Linked DNA regions of Lytechinus pictus. The protein of the gene in region 1 binds, or shares a complex with, the protein of each later gene. Links are inferred from orthologs where the notes say so. Each region holds a gene or a part of one and is shown in the gene's direction. Other genes may lie near its edges.

Region 1 (7,333 bases):
CCCCCCTCCCCTCTTTAACAGTGTTCGTTAGCATTTTGTTTTTATGTTTTGTTTAAGGTCATTTCATTGATTTTTCACTCATATTGTTGTAAAACACAATGAAAACAATAAAATTCTTAGTCAATTACACATTTTACCTCCTCAATTTGCAGTGGTTTTCATTTAATTTTATATTATGTTTTATTGGGACACTAAAATCATTATGTTATATAATTGTAAATCATGCTGTTGAGAAATTATACATTGCCATGTCAACATTCTGGTCGGCGGTCCGCCATATAGAAGGCCTATACGGTCCTACAGGAGAAGGTAATTCTGAATGGAAAGTCCACCCCCTTAAAAAACATGAAGATTAGAATATCATAATAAAACATCCTAGTCGCATTTGGATATTGCCAAATATAAAATCACACAAGTTCGAAAAATCATTCTTTGGAAATGTCCGTCATCCAGATGACGTTTCCCGGATTTATGAAATTGGGGCACAGAAAAACGATCTTATTTGGAATTAGTACATTATTTTCTTTTGCAATAAAAAATTGGGGTCAATTGATGCCAAAATGGACATAATTGCCCTCCCCAGAAAAAAAAGAAAAGAAAAGGGATTATCAGTCCTAAACTTAATCCTTCCGAACCTCGAAAGCAAAGAAAAGAAAAAAATGGCCGGGTACTCTAAAAAGAAGGGTGACGACATACTAATAATCACTTTTTTTAAATGGTATCATTGTGCACTTGCCTAATTATCAATCCACTCATATTCAAAAGAATTCATGGAAATATTGTTTCCAAACATCTTGTCCATTATAACCCACCATCAAAATTTCATCATTCGTACAGAAAATTCCACTTTCCTCTGTCTTCACTTAGTTCGAAAGGGAGGGAGAAAACCAAAATCCTAGAAATTGGTAGGGTCACTCAGGGCAAAATGTGTTAATTAATAAGTCATTTCAAGCGACTCTGAAAATAAAAATTGGCAAAAATAAATCTTGTTGAATGGATGAATGAGAAAAAATCAACTAGCATCAGCACAACCCATATTATTTAGTAAAGCTTTCATTACAAAGTTAATCTTCATGTTATAAGAACTATATCTCAAAATATGGAACCTTAGCACTCGAACTGCATGAGTATAGTCCCGTCTTACAAAGAGTTGCGATTGATCCGATCGATTGCAACTATGGAAAGCCAGCAAATTCAACATAATGCATGTTTGCTTCAAAAAAATTCTAGATACGAATGTATATCCATAAGTTCATTGACAGCTCGGTGTGTTCTCTTTTGTTTACAAAGGAAATTTTGCACATTTCATGTAGAAAAACGTATGACACTAAAGTAATGGATTTCCATAGACTGATAGAGTTACGATTGATTGGATAAATGATCGTAACTCTTTGTAAGACGGGGCCCTGAACATTATGGCCCGTATTCTGAAGTCGGGTTTAACTTAAACTCAGGTTTAAAGTTGTGGTTTAAGTATGGGAAGCCAAAAGTATCAAAGTTTTTATTAAGTTGTATGTTTCTTATGTTTACTGTGCTCTTTCTTTATTCATCGATGGTGAAGACAATCATCTGTTTATACTTCCTAGACAACTATGAATTATTTGAGAGCTGAAGTATGATATCTCTACTGTTAGTGATTTATGCAACAATTTGCTATCCATACTTAAACCACAACTTTAAACCTGAGTTTAAGTTAAACCCGACTTCAGAATACGGGCCTATGTATATAATGGGGCGTGGCGAAAAGGGACCGTGCCCCAAAGAAAAATAGAGAGTTTAAAGGCAGAAAAGATCAAGGTAAAGAAGGACAAAAAGGACAGACAGATAGGAAGTAAGCAAGAAGAAATACTTCAACGAGACAGGAAGCCTTCCAAGTTTTCCTAACCAAAATAGTATGATAAAATATTTTTTGCCTTCGCCACGCGCAGCAATATGAAAAAAAAAAATTATCTCAAAAATGCCTATTGAGACGCAGCCCCTAAAAATCGTCTTCTTCGTTTGGATGATTCTTCAAAATTCACTCGTAAAGTCAATTTTTCCCGCATTTATTTCCAACCCCTTTCGAAAATCATTTTTTCTCCAAAATTTTAATAGATTCATTCATGAAATCAATTGAATAAAAATACAAGTCGTTTAATTCCTTTTATCTTTTGAAATTAATCTTCAGAGCTCGTTGTGTTGAATGAGCGCGGTGAGAAACTGTTATCCCCTTGCTGCAGGTTTATACTCTCCTATTTTAATGAATCTATTATTGAATACAGTTGTAAAATATAAGACAAAAGCCCTGTCGATTTTGTACAATATACTTTTGAATAAAAAATATGCTGAAAATGTTATTGGCTATAAGTAATTTTAAGCGCACTCATTTTTTTCAACAATTAACGATTCTATGAAAATATACAAATATTCGCGTTATTACGAGAGAAATATAGCTGTAAACTAAATCTCATTTTATTGATAAAGCCATTGGAATTGAAGTAATATATGCTAAATATGAGGAGCAATCATAATTATATCATACACGAAAAGTGTAACCTAGAGTATACAGGACCACTCGAGTTTCACACAAGGGCGGGAATCTCTCCCCAAAAGTAGGGGGACCAGGGGCCGGAAAATTTGACAAGCAAAAAAAAAAAGGTTATCACCCAAAAAGTACGGTCATCTCGTTCAAAATACACGTTTTATTTCGATTTTGAATGATGTCTTTCTTTCCATTATAAAAGATCAAAATATAGGGGGACATTTGATATTGTGTGTCCCCCTATACTATTTTGGGTCCCCCGGAATTTCCGCCCATGGTTTAACATTATGTAAACTTGTAAAGCAATATAAACCAGGAATTATTAAGAAAAGACTTCCAAAGAATACGATTTAGCTATCAATATGGTTTGTATGTGGGCTATGCAGGCTTGCAATCAATATTGAAGTCCAGCAATATGATAAGTCTTCTCTCGAATCTCGATTAAACTTATAGCTCCTCACGGAAAACTTGTTTCTATCCTTCTGCAACATATTCTTTTCAATTCAAATAAACATTTATTCTCTTCCATTTTTCACAAAATATAATTTTCAATATAGATTATACAAAACCATTTTTCATAAAAATAAATATAAAACATATTTATTAACATAAAAGGACGTAGTTCCCTGAAAGCAAAAGGTTGTGACGGGATACGCCTGTATACAAATACAATACAAATCGTTTTGTTCTCTCCCAGTCCTACGATTGAATAAATTTCTCACTGTCAAGTTTCTTAAACGAACAAAATCTATATTCGATGAAGGCCCTAGAAACGTCATTCTTTGCTTAAGATTTAATGAAAAATTACTCAAATATCAAATCTCTCTTGTTTATAATGATCTTCGAGTAATCGTCGCCACTCCAAAATCCTGTACACAGATGCATGCTGGATAACTGCTTTGTAAAACTCCAGAAAAAAAAACGAGGAATGCAGTTAATTCCTGTTCCTGTTCAATTATCAAGTTTTTTTTCTTCAATATGAATGTTATGCGATTTTGATTTATTTTCTTTAATACCTCATGAAGTTAACCACATCTTCTTTTCTCAATGTTGTGTTCATGACAGATCGGTAGATGGCGCAATCCCAGAATCGCATCTGAGTACGCATTGCTAACCCATTTGCACGAATGTGGAAATAAATGTTTACATTCATTTCTTAGACGTTTATCCCAGTATTTGAAAAGTGGCTTATGAAATGTAAAATATATATATATATATATATATATATAAATGAACAAATAAATAAATTGTGATCATATTCACAGCCTTAACATGATAATGAAGTTGTATCATTATTTAGTCTCCAGTATTAATCATAGGCCTATTTTAATCTTAATCAATTTTTTGAATAATTATATTTATTTCATCTACAACTAAATACATAAATTCAAACATTCAACTCAATTCAACTCTGTTCATTTTTCATTTAAATAGCTTATGATGATAATGATGATACCGCCTTACAAACATTATCGTCAGGCAATCAGTTATAATTGACAATTCCCCCTTTAACATATACTAATAGTCCTATCACTACCGTATTATCATTATTATCAATATAGGAATAAACCTTACTTTGTTAATATTGCTATTCAGATAATTGTGTTACGACTGAACCTACTATTTCTATATCCCCTTTCTTCATCATATTACTAGTTATATTGGGAATGTATATTCAGAAAATACTAAAAGGCGCATTTCCGTGAGGCTAGCAAAACAATCTCAAAATGGCAGACTACGATTTCACGTGTGGGGCTACAACTTCAGTTTCAAAGGTACTAAAATTGTCTTTTAAACTTGAATTGATCGATCTTTCATTGCTCAGTACCATATCATGAATATGATACTCAAACTTTTTATTTTATTGATCTCGTTTTAGGGATGTTTCGTGTTCAAAGCCAAGAAGAGACGTCAGCCTCTTTATCCCGGTAAGTAAACCCATCCCCATCCGTGTATTTCTGTGATGTAGATGATAAATTAATGTCATTGATGACGCACACATAATTATGGTTACCAGCGTGTGCGATCCCAATGCACACATATCCGACATGAATATCACTTTTCCGTGATAGAGTAATAAAAATTGCACAGGAGCTAAATTCCTGTTTATTCATACCAAATTCGTTTTGCAAATTTGGTATACTTACGAGCTAAGAATGGAAGGAACATAAACTAAGTTTACTTTAACTTTGACTGCTAAAAGTAAAACTTAATAAAAGATTATTGGTAATAAACTGATTTCTTTGAGTCTGACTTTATTTTGTATTTTCTTTCTTTCTCTTTTTCATTGACATTGCTCAGTTCCATAACATGAATAAGATACTCGAACGTGATATTTATTTATCTAGTAATTTTTTTTCTTTTCTTTCTTTCTGTCTTTCTTTTTTCTTATCTTTTCTCTCTTTTTTTTTCTTTCTTTCCTTCTTTCTTTCCTTCCTTCCTTCCTTTCTATATTAATTTGATATTGATATTTTTCTTCCTCATTTTAATTTCCCCCAATTTTCTCCCAATTTCTACCCCTTTTTCCTCTCCTTTTTATTTTTTTCCTCACTATGTGTGCTGCATCTCTGATAAGTTTTATGAAGTTCTGAATATTGTAACATCCTATAATATTCATTAAGCTCAAAGAACCGTTCATTGCAACAAGAGTCGTGAATCATGTAGTTACACCTCTCTTGCTCATTTTCCGAAAGGATAATGTGTAAATGTAATCTCCAATTCAAAGGCAAAGGGTTTGCAATTTCTCATATATTTCTATCTTTAGTGTTACAGCCTTAAAACCAAAATTGATAAAGGGATCAAATTTTCTTATTGCAATAAATATGAATATTATAAGTAATATCTGATGATCAATTCAGGACTGCTGTATTGACTAAAAAATTGTGATTTTGCAATTACGATTCAGGACCATGAGAATTATGCTTTAAAAAAAGGTCAATTTTAAACATCCATATTTTTTATTCATTCATTGACAATGGCTTTCCTTTCATGGCAACACTTAAAACATCAAAATTCCTGTTCTAAATTTAAATTTGCAAATACGAATTAGAAGATAAATTTTTATCAACACTATTTATTTTCAATATGCATGTAAGCAATAAAAGAAAAACTTTTGATTTTGATATTTTAATAGAAAAACAATTCAACATTTACTCACCTTAGTCTTTTTAAATGTAGTTTTGTCCTTAGATTCCAAATGATATTCATTATTTATATTTTTAATCATATATTCATTTCAAATGGTTAATTGACAAATGAGAAAAAAAGAGAAAAAGACATAAGAATTGCAGATTGCAGATAATGTTTGAAATGAGATAAATTTCAGATAAAAAAATGTTATTCAATTTATTTTATTTTAACATTTATTTTAACCCTTCACTTCCAACATTAAAGTAAATTTACAGGAATTCAAGATCGTACTTGTACTTTTTACTTTTGTTTTAAATGGTAAAAAAAATGAATGCAGGAGATTATTTCATACCTGAAAGCAAAGCTGAAAGCAGTAATGATTGTAAGCTGAGATTTGAGACTGGAGATGCCCAGTGGGAGCTTATCAATGATGATATTGAGGTAAGATCTTTACGAGGAAGTCTACCTTGACATAAAATGTTTCCAATTTGTCTAATGCCGATTCGTCCAATTGCCAGCTCGTCTATGTTCATCTGGTCTACCATCAGTTCATCCACTCACCAAATGGTCTACTTTCATTTAGTCTGATGCAGTTCCTTCTAATAGCCAGTTGGTCCAATAGCCATTTAGTCCATATACCATTTGGTCTAATTAAACTTAATAGTGCAAAATGAAGGAAAAGAAAATGGATATTAGACCAACTGGTTATTAGACGAAATGGTAAAAGACAGACTGGTGATTAGACGAAGTGATGATTGGACTAAATGGTTATTGGACCAAATGGTTGTTAGTAGAAATGTTGATGGACGGAATGGCATGAGACTAAATGAAGGTAGACCATGTGGTGAGTGGACGAGTTGGCAGTGAACAAATTAGCAATTTACCCAAACATGTATATTTGGTTTGAATATATAAGTAATGCTGACGTCAAGATAGTTATTCATGGAGGTGGTTCAAGATATCGGACTAGACACATTGAAGTCTGGGATATGATCCCTGGCACCTATGTCAGGGATCAGGCATTTAATCAACTTAAAAAAAAAATCCTTTGTTAGAATTAATGGAAATGTTTTATTAGCATTCTTGGTAATAACAATGTGTGCACTTGTTTAAAAGAAAGTCAATTATAAAAGTCAACTTATGTGTCAATTCTTCATTACTGTTTTTCTCTGTTACAGACTTTACAGGCAGAGATCAACAAAACACTTTTTGATGATCTTCTAGACTTCATCAAGAATGCTCAGGCAGGATTCAAGATGGATGAGGATCTGGGATCAAGTAGGTCCAGGCCTAAGCTTAAGGAGATCCCAACTGCGGCATTTGTAACAGGTACTGTCAAATACACCTTTTTAGTAGATCTAGAGTTTATGCAGGTAATTTCCGGGATAGTAAGAAATTCCAGGAAATTCTGGGAAATCTGAAAATCAAAATGTCATATTTGAAATTGATTAGTTTTCATTATACATGATAGAGAATTATTTATTTGTAGCAAAAAAAATTATCACTTGTGTTTGCATTATCTATTTTATGTCTATTTCAGCAGTGCATGGAAAAGAAAGGTCTTAAATTCCTTGATTTTTCATTATTAGGCCTACTTCAGGCTTGCTATATCATTATCTGAAGTTTGTGTGGAGATTTCAGCCAGGTAATTCCACCGAATTCAGAAAATTTGTGATTAAGTTT
Region 2 (7,029 bases), on another chromosome or scaffold:
ATAAACACAAATTTAGAATGAGAAACCAGATAAAGCACAAAAGTATTTCTAATTTCATTGTTTTTTTATATACAAATGCCAAATCACAACACGTTTTTCTCGTTGTGATTTCGTTTTTGTGTTTTCAAAAACCAAACTAAGGGGCTGATTTCCGTTTCCGCTTCTACATGATTGGAACAGAAAAACAAATTATCCATTAGTACCTTGATTGTGCAGGTTACTGGGCAAGTGAAAGTGACATTCACAATTGATCTTAGCAAGACATTCATTACATAAATGAGTAGAGTACTATTTCATATGATAAAAACTAATTTAAGTATGAGAATGACAATATTTGATTAGAGAATATCGAACTTCTTAACCGAAGTGCGTGACAATCAACAAAATATATATTTTCATCAAACGTTTAGTTTAAGAATATTTTTCTATGTTTCTGCTTTAATTATCATCAACTTTGCGTCAGGGTAAACTGCCCCCTTTAAGGGTAGGCCATTCGTGTCAATTAATAGACAACATTTTTTCCCCAAACAGTGCAAACGTGAACGAATAAATGAATATATGAATAAACCAGGAAATGAATAAGTTAAACAATACGAAGGAGAACTTGAAATAGTGATGCATTAAGCCTCTCTCTCCCACTCTCTCTCTCTCTAACGTTTCACGTATTGGCTTCAGTGAGGTAACAAAATATATTTGTTTATATATATAATAATATATGGTATACAGAGAGATCAAATCCATAAGTAAAAAGAGAAATTAACGATAATGGTTGGTCTTACATCAAATAAAACAAAAAGTTTAATACAAACAAATACATCAATTGTTTAATTTAAAGGACAAGTCCACCCCAACAAAAAAGTTGATTTGAATAAAAAGAGGAAAATCAAACGATCATAACGCTGAAAATTTCATCAAAATCAGATAAAATAAGAAAGTTATCACATTTTGAAGTTTAGTTTAATTTGAAATAATAGTTACATATGCACATCCAGGTCGGTATGCAAATGAGGAAACTGATGACGCCATCCACTCACTATTTCTTTAGTATTGTATTATATGAAATATGATATTCTCCCATTTTCTTCTCATTGTCAAGTGCAACAATTTCTCCCTGAACATATGGTTCATTCACGTTGGCCCTTATTGTAAAAAATGTGAAAAATGAAATATTGTATAATTAAAAAAAAAAAAATAGCGAGGCCGGAACTGTATCATTTGCATGCAAATGAGTTGTGCATATAGGGCCTATATCACTTTTTTGTGAAAAATAAGCGAAACTTTAAAAATATCACAACTTTCTTATTTTACATCCGATTTAGATGAAATTTCCAGCGTTATGCTAGTTTGATATATCTCTATTTATTCAAATCAACATTTTTTCTGGGGTGAACTTGACCTTTAAACAAAATATAAATTCCTTTTATGTAACGAAAAATAAGGTTATAACACCCTTCAACTACGACTAATTCAAAGAAGGTAAACGATAATTTTTAAATTCAGATTATACTTTCTTCAAATTTTCAAAGTCATTCATGCCTGAATGATCGAGGAATCTTCTAAGGATACCAGGTGAAAGAGAAGATATTCTAAGCTTTACAATGAGTGCCGTCTTCATTTTGTATAGCCATTATAACTTACAGAATGAATAGAAATAAATGAAAAATAAATGAAATGTATGGCCCTGTATCAACATAAGACCTCAGATAACAAAAAGATGAAAATATAACAAATAAATTAAATGATTAATGAATAAATATAAATACATTAATCAAACAATTAAAATAGATTGATAAATAAATTAAATGAACTTCCACACATAAAAAGAATTAAAAGCGAATGATACCTAACTCTGACTCTCTATATCACAATGATTAATGAATAAATATAAATACATTAATTAAACAATTAAAATAGATTGATAAATAAATTAAATGAACTTCCACACATAAAAAGAATTAAAAACGAATGATACCTAACTCTGACTCTCTATATCACAAAAGAAAAAAATAACTGAAAACAAATGAATTAAATGATTAATGAATAAATATAAATAAATCGACAAATAAATTTCTGAAGAAGTAAATTATTATATCTCCTTAATTGTTTATTTGGAAAATAAATTGGAGCCCCCCCCCCGCCTCCTGCAGCGCCGCCCATGATATTCTTTCCTTGTTTATTTGGAAAATAAATTGAAGGGCCCCCCTCCCCCCTACAGCGCCGCCCATGATAATTCTCACCGGCAGGGGAAACAAGCCCCACGACCACGTTATTTTCCATTATATAACAGCGTAAGGGGCCTCGATAACGAGTATACTACTATAGCCGTCATCCGAGCCCCACACACGTGCGAATGCTGGGACAAGCGCATTGGACGGGGCCAGTTTCGCGACTATCTTAGGATGCAAGCTTATTATATACTCGTGATATATAGGCCCCGCTACTGTGTTGGAGTGTCTGAAGTGCCGTAGTGCGGGGCCTATATAACGGTTATAGTACTATACTCGTGAAACAGGCCCCGCAAACTGACATTCTAAGCTATTCAACACAGCAGCGGGGCCTATATCACGAGTATATATAGTGAGCTGAAGTTAGCAACCTAGATATTGAGGTAGTATAATCGATTACAAGTTTTTCTCGAGCGGGGCCTATATCACGATTTTGCCTTTATGTAATAACGTAAGAAAACGGAAAATGGGGATGTGACATCATCAGCCCACCTAATATTATTAATAAATATTCATGACGACTGTTTTCACAAAATTATTATTTTATATTGCTAAACTTTATTTAAACTTCAATAACTTATTATTTGTTGTCCGATTTTGATGAAATTTCCGGCATTTTTCTCAGTGAATTATATTCTATGTATTAAGATATAAATATTTCCAGCCCGGACCATCCCTTTAATAATTAATTTGAATACATCGATGGAGCCCGAGTCAATAACTTCCCCTCAGGAGTCCGTCTTTATTTACAGCGTGTGCAATTCCTTTCGCACGCAGGTGAGTGTGTATAACCACGATTCCGTGACACATATACTTACGTATCACATGAGCGAAATCACGGTCGGAGTATATTCTATATACGGTACCGGTACTTGATTGTTGAGTGAGAGTAGATCACTGCCGACACTGGTACCTCAATCATTTACGGTAGTTTCAGTGTGGTATTTGTTTACCTTTCTTATTAATTCCTTCTCCTCAATTATCACCAACAATTACCCTAGCTGGAACTTCGAAGTTAGATAAATCAAACAGCAAATGTTAGACAATCATTGGCTTCGGATGTGGAGAGACAGTCTTCTCGTGCATGCACCGCCCGTATGCGTACGGTACTTCCGCCTAGCCTAAAAACTAGGGGCCGATTGCACGAAAGGGTCTTTCCAAGGACCGTCTTTCGTGTCGCCCATCTTTTATGATACGCCATGTGAAACGCATTTCAAATAAATTATCTGCAAATATATTTTATTTGTCCGTTAAATTAAACAATATATTTGTTTATAAAATGATGTGATATCTCATGAAATTGTATAAAATTTGATTTAAAAGCAAGCTTACGAATTTTATTTGTTTATCATAAATTTCAGAAACACCCCGCTTATAGCGCATCATAAAAGATGGGCGACACGAAAGACGGTCCTTGGAAAGACCCTTTCGTGCAATCGGCCCTAGGAAGCAATATGCGCAGAGCAGGGGGCGATTGCACGAAAGGGTCTTTCCAAGGACCGTCTTTCGTGTCGCCCATCTTTTATGATGCGCTATAAGCGGGGCGATTCGGAAATTTATGATAAACAAATAAAATTCGTAAGCTTGCTTTTAAATCAAATTTTATACAATTTCATGGGATATCACATCATTTTATATACAAATATTTTGTTTATTTTGACGGACAAATAAAATATATTTGCAGATAATTTATTTGAAATGCGTTTCACATGGCGTATCATAAAATATGGGCGACACGAAAGACGGTCCTTGGAAAGACCCTTTCGTGCAATCGGCCCCATATAGCCAGCCAAATCAGCACTAGCGCTAGCCAGAGCCTCGTACCGTACTATATACTCGGTACCGTGGCGCGCCATTTGATTGTGAGCGCGGCCGAGGTCGATCGAGAGCTAGAGCTAGAGCGGCACACACATTATATTACGGTAATACGGTATACCGGGGGAGCGTTTCATCAATATTTTCATCCGACAAGTTGTCAGATCTGACATCTTTCCATCATCATCATCATCATCTGTACGGGAGGGTAGGTAATATACTATATAGTCCTGTAGATCTCCCGGTCGTAAACACTTGATGCATAATTAAAGTCTACTCTAAGTCTAACCTAGACAGCTGGCAGCCGTCTGTTTCGAGGAGTTTTTTAACATTTTTTTATTTTTTTAATTTCTCCTCATACACAGACGGCTCGCTATCGTGCAGCCACCATTAGGGGACTTGCAATGCAAAATCCCCCCGTCGGGGCTCTTCAATTTTTGTCTTTAATAAATAAAATTTTTGAAAATTAACGCGACCAAAATGCAAATTAATATTCCCTCTTGGCATTAATTGCCAAAAAACAGAGAAAAATCAAGTTAAAAGAAACAAAAACAGTGACTTATCTCGGCTGTCGCGCAAATTCACTTCCCCGTTTTATCCGCTCTTAAGTACATAAACATATGGCCATTGAGTCCCCTGTACAGATCGCGCTAGAACTTCGGTCTCTGTATTTGGTGAGTGAAGCCAACGGAGTTCAGCTGAACAACCAACATAACAGAGACTGAAGCTTTTGGTCTAAGTCTAACCCAGAGAGCTCCCGCCCGCTGCGCGGGCGGGAGCCCAGAAGCTTACCGTGTATTTGACCATATTCAGCGGACTAGGGTGATTTATGGTCTAAATATTTCTCCAAATGAATTGTGAAAACAGAAAGTATACAATTACCACGATTATATGGATGAAGGTCTAACGAGTGGCAGTTTCCTGACATCTGGGCACAGACTGGAACCTAAAAAAACCGAAAAGTTCTGTCCTCTACCCCAGTCTCGATCGGCCATTTTGTTACGATTTTTAACAAAAATGGCCGATCGAAACGGGGGTAGAAGGAGAGAACTTTTCGTTTTTTTGAGGTTCCAGTCTGTGCCCAGATGTCAGGAAACTGCCACTCGTTAGACCTTCATCCATATAATCGTGGTAATTGTATACTTTCTGTTTCCACAATTCATTTGGAGAAATATTTAGACCATAAATCACCCTAGTCCGGTGAATATGGTCAAATACACGGTAAGCTTCTGGGCTCCCGCCCGCTGCGCGGGCGGGAGCTCTCTGGGTTACTCTAAGTCTAACTCTAAGTTCAGTGCGCGCGGGCGTGGATGTCAGACAATTTCAAAATGTTTGCTTGACCAAAAAGAATCTAATCCGTGTTTAAAATAATAATGAGTTGATGCTGGAGGACATTATAATACTAGTGTTGCAGGCAAACTATTCCAGGATTGAATCACTCTTTTACTGAAAAAGCTGCTGCGGGCATTCAACCGACAGTGAGTTGTGAACAGTTTGAAGGGATGACCTCTTGTTCCCTGATACTAGTATGAGACCTCATGAAGAGGGATTCTGTGTCGACTCTATCTCCTATACCATGTAATATTTTAAATACTTGTTGTAATTTTGTATCATGTCCCCTCATTCTCTGCGGTAATGTAAGGAGTACAGATTCAGTCTAACAAGTCTTTCAGTCACTCATAAGATAAGGAGTTAAATCCTGGAAATAGTCTTGTTGCTCTACGTTGTACAGATTCAATTCTTCTGTCATCGGTGATGAATCTAGGGCTCCACACAACACTACAATACTCCAAATGTGGTCGAACAAGAGCCTTGTACAGCCTACAGGGGCAGAAATATATCCGGTTTAATGTTCACAAATGCACGTTTGATGATGCCCAACATTTGGTTAGCTTTTTGGATAGATGCAGATACATGTTGATGAAATGTGAGTTCACTATCATCAATAAGAACACCAAGATCCCTTTCACAGTTGACATCAACCAGTGAACGATTATCCATAAAACGTTAGAGTATGAACGATGGATATTGTTATTTCCTATATAAAGAGTCTTACATTTATCAGAGTTCAGAGGAAGCTGCCATGAGAGTGACCATTTCTCAATGCCATTCAAATCATCTTGCAGTGATTGACTACAGTCAGGGTTTGGTACTCTGGCATAAATCTTAGCGTCATCAGCATATAATAGCGTAGAGCTTGAAGTAACGTCTGGCAGATCGTTTACATACATAACAAAGAGGGTTGGCCCGAGCACACTACCCTGCGGTTAGACCAAAAGCTTCAGTCTCTGTATTTTGGTTGTTCCGCTGAACTACGTTGGCTCCACTCACCATACATAGACTGAAGGGGATGGGGCCCCGTACCTACAGCCAACGTATAGTGAACTAGCGTTTTATAGATCGAGATTTTAAACTGTTTTTTAAGCAAAATTGAAAGTTTCATGGTTTCCATTATCAGGGAAATATAAATAACTTAAGTAATTGCATACCTTGGGCCGGAGTTATTGAAAAAAATCCTCTGGATGATTGAGAAATCTGTCATCTAAGACATTTTCACCTGACCTGACGGTTTTTCTTGCAAGTTGCCATCTTGAATGACGTCATTATCGTTATTAACTTAATGTCTCGAATCGATATATCGCGATTATAACTAGTACTAGTACTAGTATAACTAGTATCGTTTATCTTCGATTTCGTTCGCATATGGAGCAGATCGTATAATATCGAAAGCAATATCGATATCACATTCGTGATTGTTGACGTTCGTTTGTAATATTTTATAGTTTGGCTGCCATTTTGACCATTTTTATCGTGTTCAACCCAATTAAACATCGGTAAAGTATATTTTTCATGCCTTTTTCATCTATATCGTTTAAAGTATTTTGATAATTAAATATCAAGTTTTAAAAGTTTGTTGGTTATACATCCTTAGATTGTAAATTCGATGTGTAAAATTACATCAAACTTTGGACTGTGAATTGACAAAAGG
Region 3 (8,074 bases), on another chromosome or scaffold:
ACCAGTACCTCAAATACGCACTACGCATTTTTCCCGTCTTAATAACTAGCCTCACGAAGTAACATTTTGGCTTTTGTACTTTTGTTGACATTTTAAAACTCTTTACCACGAATTTGGGCTGTTTGACCTGAGTTGGAGGTTGTTTACAATACGTCATGCATTGATAGTATAGCTATATGGCGGTCAGGCTGATAAATGTTTGCATTACCGTATCTGTAACTTTAGTTCTGTACATTGGATCAAATCGGTATTTGCAGATACAGGGAGAAAAAAAATATCGGCACATCAGATCAGCAATGAAATTCCATATCGGTTAAGGCCTACTTATCTCGTTGTGGATGTACCCCCTGAACAGACATTCTCCAATAGCATTAACTAGAAAATGTCATTGTCTTATTCTTCTTCAGTGTATCACCTTTCGACACAAAGAAGGCAGTCGACAACGCAAACCAAAGAAAACCAAGAGATGACATCCTAATCCTTCCATCAACCATCTATTAGACATACGGCTGCATTGATCACTAAGATCTTGTTCATGTTGAAGTGTCAATGTGTAATTGATGAGTCGTGACATAGTGGTTCTGCCAGTCTGTGTTTAAGTCCAATCACAGCACTGGCATCTTTTGGCCAGCATGAATCTACCATTTGCCGCTCTCCACCCAAGTGTGAATGGTTCTCCGATGTGGTTGAGTGCTAGTTACTTAGGAGCTCAGCTATGATAATCTCTTAGAGCCTTTAGCATCCCAACTTGGTGGATACAACCCTAATAAAAGCCACCATTGTTATCAGTACTACTGTATTACTGAGGGCTCTGATATCTTGATTGTTTATCAGGAAAGAGAATTATATTTTAAGATGTAGGAGTGTAGATACCATTATAAAAAAAGGCACTACCTTACTGTGCACTAGCTGGCTCTGTAAGAGAAGTGATGTGATCCTATTGAAGAAAACACTGTAGAAAATTATCACCATTATGGGTAATTTTCTGATTAAATATGAAGAAAGAAGATTTGATACATTTCATATTAGGTACAAGAAAGAAGAATCACTAAATAGAAATATTAGTACATTGATAAAATATTGATGGGAGTTATGATCAATGAGCTTGAAGGTAAAAAAAATAAGATAAATGATGAAACATGTTTGTGATCAGAAAGCACTCTAAATTAAGTTTGCATAATCATCATTTTTCAGGGATGCATTTCTATCAAATTTTTGAAAACTTCATTTTTATTCTTATTTTGTAGTGTAACAAAATATCTTTGTTATACTTTTGTCAAGATTGTTATTATGATATACTTGTTATATCTAGATCCCAATCCACATCTGTGTGCTTCCATTACATTGGTGGCTGCATTTTGCTATTTTTGCATAGTGATTGACATGAACCAAAGATAAATGCCAGTTATGGTAATGATTTCAAAAGTATTTTGTATGGAATCCAATCATATGCCCCCCCCCCCATTGTCCTTTTTCAAAATTCAAAAATATGTGACAAAGGATTGTGGGAGAAATTGTGTAATTACTGAGAAATTAGCAAAATAAACATGGAATACGAGCAGATTGTCAGGTTTTTCCAAGCAATAATACATTGTCCCACATGTGACAAAGGATTGTGGGAGAAATTGTGTAATTAATGAGAAATGAGCAAAATAAGCATGGAATACGAGCAGATTGTCAGGTTTTTCCAAGCAATAATACATTGTCCCACATGTGCTTATCTGTGTTGGTGATCTACAGTGTAAGATTTCATAATTTCTCAAAGTTAAGTTTTCTATCATATCTAGATCCACAATGATATAGTGACAATTAACCTTGGTTTCGCAGACTTTCTCATGAAATCAGTGTTTACTGCTGCAACTACTTTGTTTATCTTGAATGACTTTTGGTCTGACATAGCTGTTAACTGGGGTTGAACTCATGACCTCCCAGTTGTGTAACTTCAGACAAGATTCACAATTCTATGACAAAGATCTCTCAACCAATGAAATGGCATATATCAAAAGTTTGCAGTTTGATTTTAATAACAAGTTTTATGAAAGAGAGCTTAGGGCCAGGTTTTCATAAGCCAATGCACGAATTTGATGAAATACGGTTATCAAAAGAAATTTATTTGATTCTATGAAAAGGGGAATGTGCTGGTATGTTGCGTTAACAGATTTAGTATTATATATATATATATATATATTTATTTTATTAATCATCATGAAATGTTTACACTTTATGATCAGATCAAATAATTGAAAATATGCAATAAATATCACTTGTATAGATTCATGCAAGGAACTTATTGCTCAGTTCCAGGAGGGGGGGGGGGTGTAATGAGTCACTCCCTCCTCTCACTTTAAGAGTATGACATCACGTATCTTTACCAAGATAATCATTAACCCTAATCCAGCGGGGGGGGGGGGGTGAATCAGCCTCGACATTTTCCATGACCATTCCTCTGCACCAAATTTTTGACCGCACCGATCGCTGACATTTTACTTTAAAGTCTTGCGCATCTTTTGAGACCAAATTTATGATGCCCGGGTATGCGGTACGATAATTACACAACATTATGTAAGTGCATGTCAGACCCAAAATTGCTCCAAAACGTAATTTTTTGTACAAAGTCAATGTAAATTGAATTTTCTCACCTTATTCACTTTTATCAGCTAAAATTAATTGATTTTAGCATAATTATGCTTTAAAAAGGTTCTGAAAAACAAAAGGTCGAACAACAAAAAAATACATAAGAAATTCATAAAACAATGAAATAAATAGTAAATTCATTTTCAAACCAAGATTTTTATTAATTTGTGATTGTTAGCAATGGTATAAAGAATATTTACACCAAAAATTAGCATTCTATGAGCTTTTTATAGTGAATTAGAGCAAAAAGTATGACTTAGCCTGGTCTGGTTAGGGCTAAATCAAATGTAGGATCAGCTGATTTTGTGAGGTCTCCTAAGTAAATACAGGAATATATCAATGTAAGTGTGCTCCCAAACAAAAAAAGACATGCTCCAAGCAGAAATCAAACTTAACTTTGCTTTAATGTCATTTAAAAAAAAAGAATTTCTTTTCTTAATTGCGGTTTCAGTGAATGAGACAAACTATCACTTCCTTGGCAAGATGGATAAATGTCATCTTTCCTTAGCTCTGTTCAGTAAGATAATATGGAAATGATATATTGTCTTATCATTTTCACCAAGGATGATTATTAACTTTTTGTCCTCTAAGGAGGTCCATAGAGCAGCCATTTTGGAGGAGAACAATGAAAACCTGTGCATTCAACTAAGATCAGTGGTTGCTTTTATGGATAGTGCACATGTTTCCCATTGTTATGTCCTCCATGGTGACGTCATGTGGCAACCCCCTCTATAGGCTTCTGTGCTGAAGAATTAGCCTTGATAAACATACCTTTTGATAAAGTAATAGAAAAGGATTTAGTATGAACTCTGTCATTATTTATAATGGCCACATGATCCATTGGAAATTAGGAAGGTTATAGGAGTGCTTTTTAATCCTTTTGTTCCTAATTGGCAATTATTTTTGCTTGTGAAAGGCCCTATGATAATTAAAAAAATAAGCTTATGATTTTGGTAACATTTTAATGGGCATATTCAATCTCGCTCATATATTAAAATTGAGCATTCTGATGAGGAATCAGTTTGCCGAGATCATGAATGGGCATTGATGATATTGAAAGTTGTTTCATTAAGCTGTTTCTCATCTAAAGGCTGCGTTACGAACCACTGGGATCCTTTCTTAGGAACTGAATCAACACTAATGGAAATCTGGTGCGTTTCATTTACCACAAGAAAGAATCACCAGTCATTCATTAAGTCGATCATTGCTTGAACAGCTTTATGAAAAACCCAACTGAGTATGACATATCATGTTTAATTCAAACCTTCTTTGGTGCTGACCCTGGGTGCCGACAGTGGTTAGCTTGTAATGATTCCAGTATTTTGGGGGGGGGGGGGTAAAACTCTCTTTTGATGAACTTCAAGAATGAAGATTATACCATATTAACAGAGAAAAGTGGTCTTTTTTTATTAGATTTTGTGCAATTCTGTATTTATCTTAAACATGAAATGAAATTTATTTAATTTACTTCTATTTATTTTATTTTTTTCCAAATTAATTGGCAATTTTTGCTTAAAGATTGCTCTTTGAAATGAAATAAGTGGAATATTAGGATGTTCAGTCAATTAACAGTAAGAGCTAGAGAATTAACATGTATACCTCAGCTGTCGTGTTATTTTTTTACATCTAAAGAACCCTTGACTCAACTAGGTGGTCACTGATGTAATAAAAACCATATTTAAAACAAAAATATGTTTTTGGTACTGGGTGTCTTTTATTTGAATTGTGATATGCATTACATCTAAACATTTGGAAGAAGTATAATGTATAAATCAAAATAAACCCAAAGTGGTTACCCTGAACTGCTGAAATGTGAAGATCAAGATGGGGTAAGCAGAATATAGAGAGGAGAGGTACATGTATAAGGAGAGAGTGGGAAATAGGGGGAGATGGGGGGTAGAGGTCAGGGAAAGGGGGATCATGGAAAGATAGAGAGACTGGTGTGGTGAATAGAGAGTGGTGGAATACAAGCGGGGAAGGGAGTGAGAGAGGTATAGATCGAGAAGAGATATCACAATAGGAAGCCGGGATATGACAAATACAACTGAAGAGATAGAGACAAATGATGAAGTGAGCCGGGAAGGGAGGGAGAGCATTATGGGGGGATGGTATATTAGCTGTGAGACGTCATAGCTTGAAGTGGATGAGATTTCATAAACTTAACTTGAAGTAATGTATAGCTTTTGCTGCTGGAGTATGGTATATAGTGCTGAAAAAGCAACCCCTTTTTTCTGAAAGACGTCTACGATGCCTTGGTGCCAACCCCCCCCCCCCCCAGAACCTTATTATATTTTCCACAATTTTCTGCTTTTTAATCAACTTGATGAACGCCATAGAGATATTTATTATAATTATTACATGTATTATCTATGGTGGTCGCCTCCCAAAATTTTGCCAAATGGTATTTGCAAAGTCAAAGCCACCACCACTCACAACAACGTGCGCGAAAACTCAAATTTCGTAGAAGATAGCCGGCCATCAGGCATCACAATCATGGATAAATCGAAACTTAGATCCAAGTCTACGCCTAAATCTGCTCATAAAAAGTCTAAACAGCGTATGTCGAAGGGAATATCTGTGATGTTTGTCGGTAATGATGATGTTATGCACCACATAATGGAAGAAGCTTCAGGTAATTCAACATTCATCTTTGTTCGGGACCCAAATTTAATGACGCACCCTAGTCCCACTTATCCAATTTGGTGAAGTTTAAAGGGCCATGATATTAACCCAGGGAACTCCCGACGCTGCGCGGGCGGGAGCCCAGGAGCTTACCGTGTATTTGACCATACTCACGGGACTAGCGTGATTTATGGTCTAAATATTTCTCCAAATGAATTGTGAAAACAGAAAGTATACAATTACCACGATTATAATATATGGATGAAGGTCTAACGAGTGGCAGATTCCTGACATCTGGGCACAGTCTGGAACCTCAAAAAAAACGAAAAGTTCTCTCCTTCTACCCCGTCTCGATCGGCCATTTTTGTTAAAAATCGTAACAAAATGGCCGATCGAGACTGGGTAGAAGGAGAGAACTTTTCGTTTTTTTGAGGTTCCAGATGTCAGGAATCTGCCACTCGTTAGACCTTCATCCATATAATCGTGGTAATTGGATACTTTCCGTTTTCACAATTCATTTGGAGAAATATTTAGACCATAAATCACCCTAGTCCGGTGACAATGGTAAAATACACGGTAAGCTTCTGGGCTCCCGCCCGCTGCGCGGGCGGGAGCTCTCTGGGTTAGTGATGGCTCAGACTGGGAAAACTTTAGGAATATAAGGAAAGATACTCACAAATTGACAAAGTCTGCATATAGGAAACACATAATTAAGAGACTTCTGTTTAGAGTCAAAGAAACAATTTTGGTCCTTCGTAAAAAGTCTTAGGAAAGACTCTTCGGGTATTCTAGAACTAAAAGACAAGGAAAAAGGTATTCTCTTCTCTGAGAACAGCCGGAAAGCTGAGATCCTTAATGATCAGTTTCGCTCAGTTTTCACGACTGAAAACCTGCAGACATTACCAAACTTCCCTCCTTGTAATATTCCCGGCATAAGTAACATAACCATTCACACCCCCGGTATTGAAAAACTCCTAAGGAATCTAGACCCTAAGAAAGCAACTGGGGTGGATGAAATATACCTCCTCGTATTCTTAAGGAATTTTCCCATGAAGTTGCGCCAATTCTTGCCAAAATATTTCAAGCTTCTGTTAACTCAGGACAGTTACCTGAAGATTGGCGTAAAGCCAATGTCACTCCCATCCACAAAAAAGGAGATCGTACAAAACCCGAAAACTATAGGCCTGTATCTCTCACTTCTGTTTGTTGTAAGATATAAGAACATGTGGTACATACCCATGTGATGAACCATCTTGAATCATACAATATTCTTAATAAAAGTCAACATGGTTTCAGAAAACTACATTCCTGCGAAACACAGCTCATACAAACCATGCATGACCTCTCTCTTTCTTTTGACAAACGGACCCAGACTGACATAATAATAACCGACTTTTCTAAGGCTTTCGACACTGTGCCCCATCAACGACTCCTCCTCAAACTCAAGCAATATGGTATTAATGGGAAGATTAATCAGTGGATCTCATCTTTTCTACAGAATAGATACCAGAGAGTAGTATTAGGGGGGGAATATTCACAATGGGTTAAGGTACAGTCAGGCGTCCCGCAGGGCACAGTGCTCGGACCCTTATTGTTTATTATCTATGTAAATGACCTACCAGACGGCTTGACCTCAACTGTACGACTTTACGCGGACGACTGCATCATATACTCTAACATCAAAACACAAAATGACGCTACTAGACTACAGAATGACCTGGACAAACTTTCTGCATGGGAAAATAAGTGGCAAATGAAACTTAACCCAGAGAAATGTTTTGTTCTTAGGATAACTTCTTCTAGATCACCTTTCACAACCAAATATAACTTGGGTGGCGTAGATCTACAGGAAACCACCCACCATTCATATCTTGGTGTCAATATCTCGCAAGATCTTAAATGGGACAAGCATATTTTCAAAATCACAACTTCTGCAAATAAAGTCAACGGCTTTATTAAACGTAACTTGCCATCATGCACAAAACTCACAAAAGCTACAGCTTACATAACTTTAGTCCGACCGATCTTAGAGTATAGTTCTAGCGTTTGGGACCCATATACAAAAGAGCATATTTATGAAATTGGTAAGGTGCAAAGAAGGGCAGCCAGAATGGTTTGTAGTGACTATAGGCAAACCACCAGTGCTACAAAACTAATGCAGGGGTTAGGATGGGATCTCCTTTCAACAAGAAGGAAAGTTTCGAGGATTGGTATACTGCACAAGGCCTTGGGGGGGCACCTGGCCCTGCCGGTGTCGGACTATCTACGTCCAGCGACTCGAGCTACCAGACGTACATCCGGAAGATCTTTCATCCAGTGCTCAACTCGCACCAATTGTTTTAAGAACTCATATATTCCACGCACCATCAAGGACTGGAATTCTTTACCCCCCGACATCCAATCAATTTCAGTCTCTGATAATTTTGAAACACAGGCAACCATATACTTTCGCAACAAAGACTTAAGCAACAAGGACTAAGAAGAAACAAAGTGCGCACTCCCATTTCCTCCTCGGGTGGTTCCTGTAATAGGAACGTTGAGGAGTATCACCAAGAAGAAGAAATATTTCTCCAAATGAATTGTGAAAACAGAAATTATGCACTTACCACGATTATATGGATGAAGGTCTAACGAGTGGCAGTTTCCTGACAACGAGGCACAGACTGGAACTTCAAAAAAACGAAACGTTCTCTCCTACCCCAGTCTCGATCGGCCATTTTGTTACGATTCATAACAAAAATGGCCGATCGAGACGGGGGTAGAAGGAGAGAACTTTTCGTTTTTTTGAAGTTCCAGTCTGTGCCTCGATGTCAGGAAA

Evidence for each region. Proteins that work in one complex are often made in the same cells at the same time.
Region 2: the proteins of origin recognition complex subunit 3-like (region 1) and origin recognition complex subunit 5-like are in contact, whole or in part, in a crystal structure (PDB 4XGC), measured with the Drosophila melanogaster proteins. The link is inferred for Lytechinus pictus from reciprocal best matches to the Drosophila melanogaster genes Orc3 and Orc5. Residues at the interface, in NP_476904.1 of Drosophila melanogaster: Ile105, Gln107, Leu140, Lys141, Val144, Cys183, Thr184, Met185, Lys186, Gln187, Glu213, Cys214, Asp222, Leu225, Ile226, His230, Ala243, Thr244, His250, Tyr255, Ser258, Ser259, Arg262, Leu263, Ala270, Pro272, His302, Ile303, Leu305, Tyr306; in NP_477132.1 of Drosophila melanogaster: Ile72, Glu73, Tyr75, Ile79, Glu82, Asp86, Asp94, Arg130, Tyr291, Met292, Arg293, Ile294, Glu295, Leu319, Glu320, Leu321, Pro322, Tyr323, Tyr324, Ala325, Asp383, Leu386, Ala387, Tyr390, Val397, Leu399, Thr400, Cys401, Asn402, Leu403.
Region 3: the proteins of origin recognition complex subunit 3-like (region 1) and origin recognition complex subunit 2-like are in contact, whole or in part, in a cryo-EM structure (PDB 7JK6), measured with the Drosophila melanogaster proteins. The link is inferred for Lytechinus pictus from reciprocal best matches to the Drosophila melanogaster genes Orc3 and Orc2. Residues at the interface, in NP_476904.1 of Drosophila melanogaster: Gly10, Cys11, Phe12, Val13, Tyr14, Lys15, Asn16, Ala18, Thr19, Arg20, Ser38, Leu39, Leu40, Tyr50, Tyr53, Arg54, Asn106, Pro108, Arg135, Asp136, Ala142, Arg177, Arg180, Asp308, His312, Gln316, Lys319, Tyr320, Met323, Phe327; in NP_731873.1 of Drosophila melanogaster: Ala331, Ile332, Lys342, Met344, Cys345, Ile346, Leu347, Asn348, Glu349, Phe351, Tyr356, Leu358, His369, Lys375, Thr377, Val378, Leu379, Val380, Val381, Asn382, Phe385, Asp392, Ser396, Asp400, Ile401, Leu402, Asp403, Asn410, His412, Glu413.

Annotation. Positions count from the first base shown.
Region 1 is NC_087248.1:5,391,027-5,398,359, forward strand, and holds the start of origin recognition complex subunit 3-like, read left to right. Parts: upstream 1-4,222; 5' UTR 4,223-4,248; coding exon 4,249-4,296; intron 4,297-4,400; coding exon 4,401-4,449; intron 4,450-5,987; coding exon 5,988-6,091; intron 6,092-6,828; coding exon 6,829-6,979; intron 6,980-7,333.
Region 2 is NC_087247.1:38,510,709-38,517,737, forward strand, and holds the start of origin recognition complex subunit 5-like, read left to right. Parts: upstream 1-4,019; 5' UTR 4,020-4,248; intron 4,249-7,029. UniProt on the Drosophila melanogaster protein: Component of the origin recognition complex (ORC) that binds origins of replication. DNA-binding is ATP-dependent, however specific DNA sequences that define origins of replication have not been identified so far.
Region 3 is NW_026974140.1:18,890,155-18,898,228, reverse strand, and holds the start of origin recognition complex subunit 2-like, read left to right. Parts: upstream 1-5,064; 5' UTR 5,065-5,127; coding exon 5,128-5,266; intron 5,267-8,074. Other genes in the region: uncharacterized protein LOC129260196, read left to right, coding at 408-470. UniProt on the Drosophila melanogaster protein: Component of the origin recognition complex (ORC) that binds origins of replication. DNA-binding is ATP-dependent, however specific DNA sequences that define origins of replication have not been identified so far.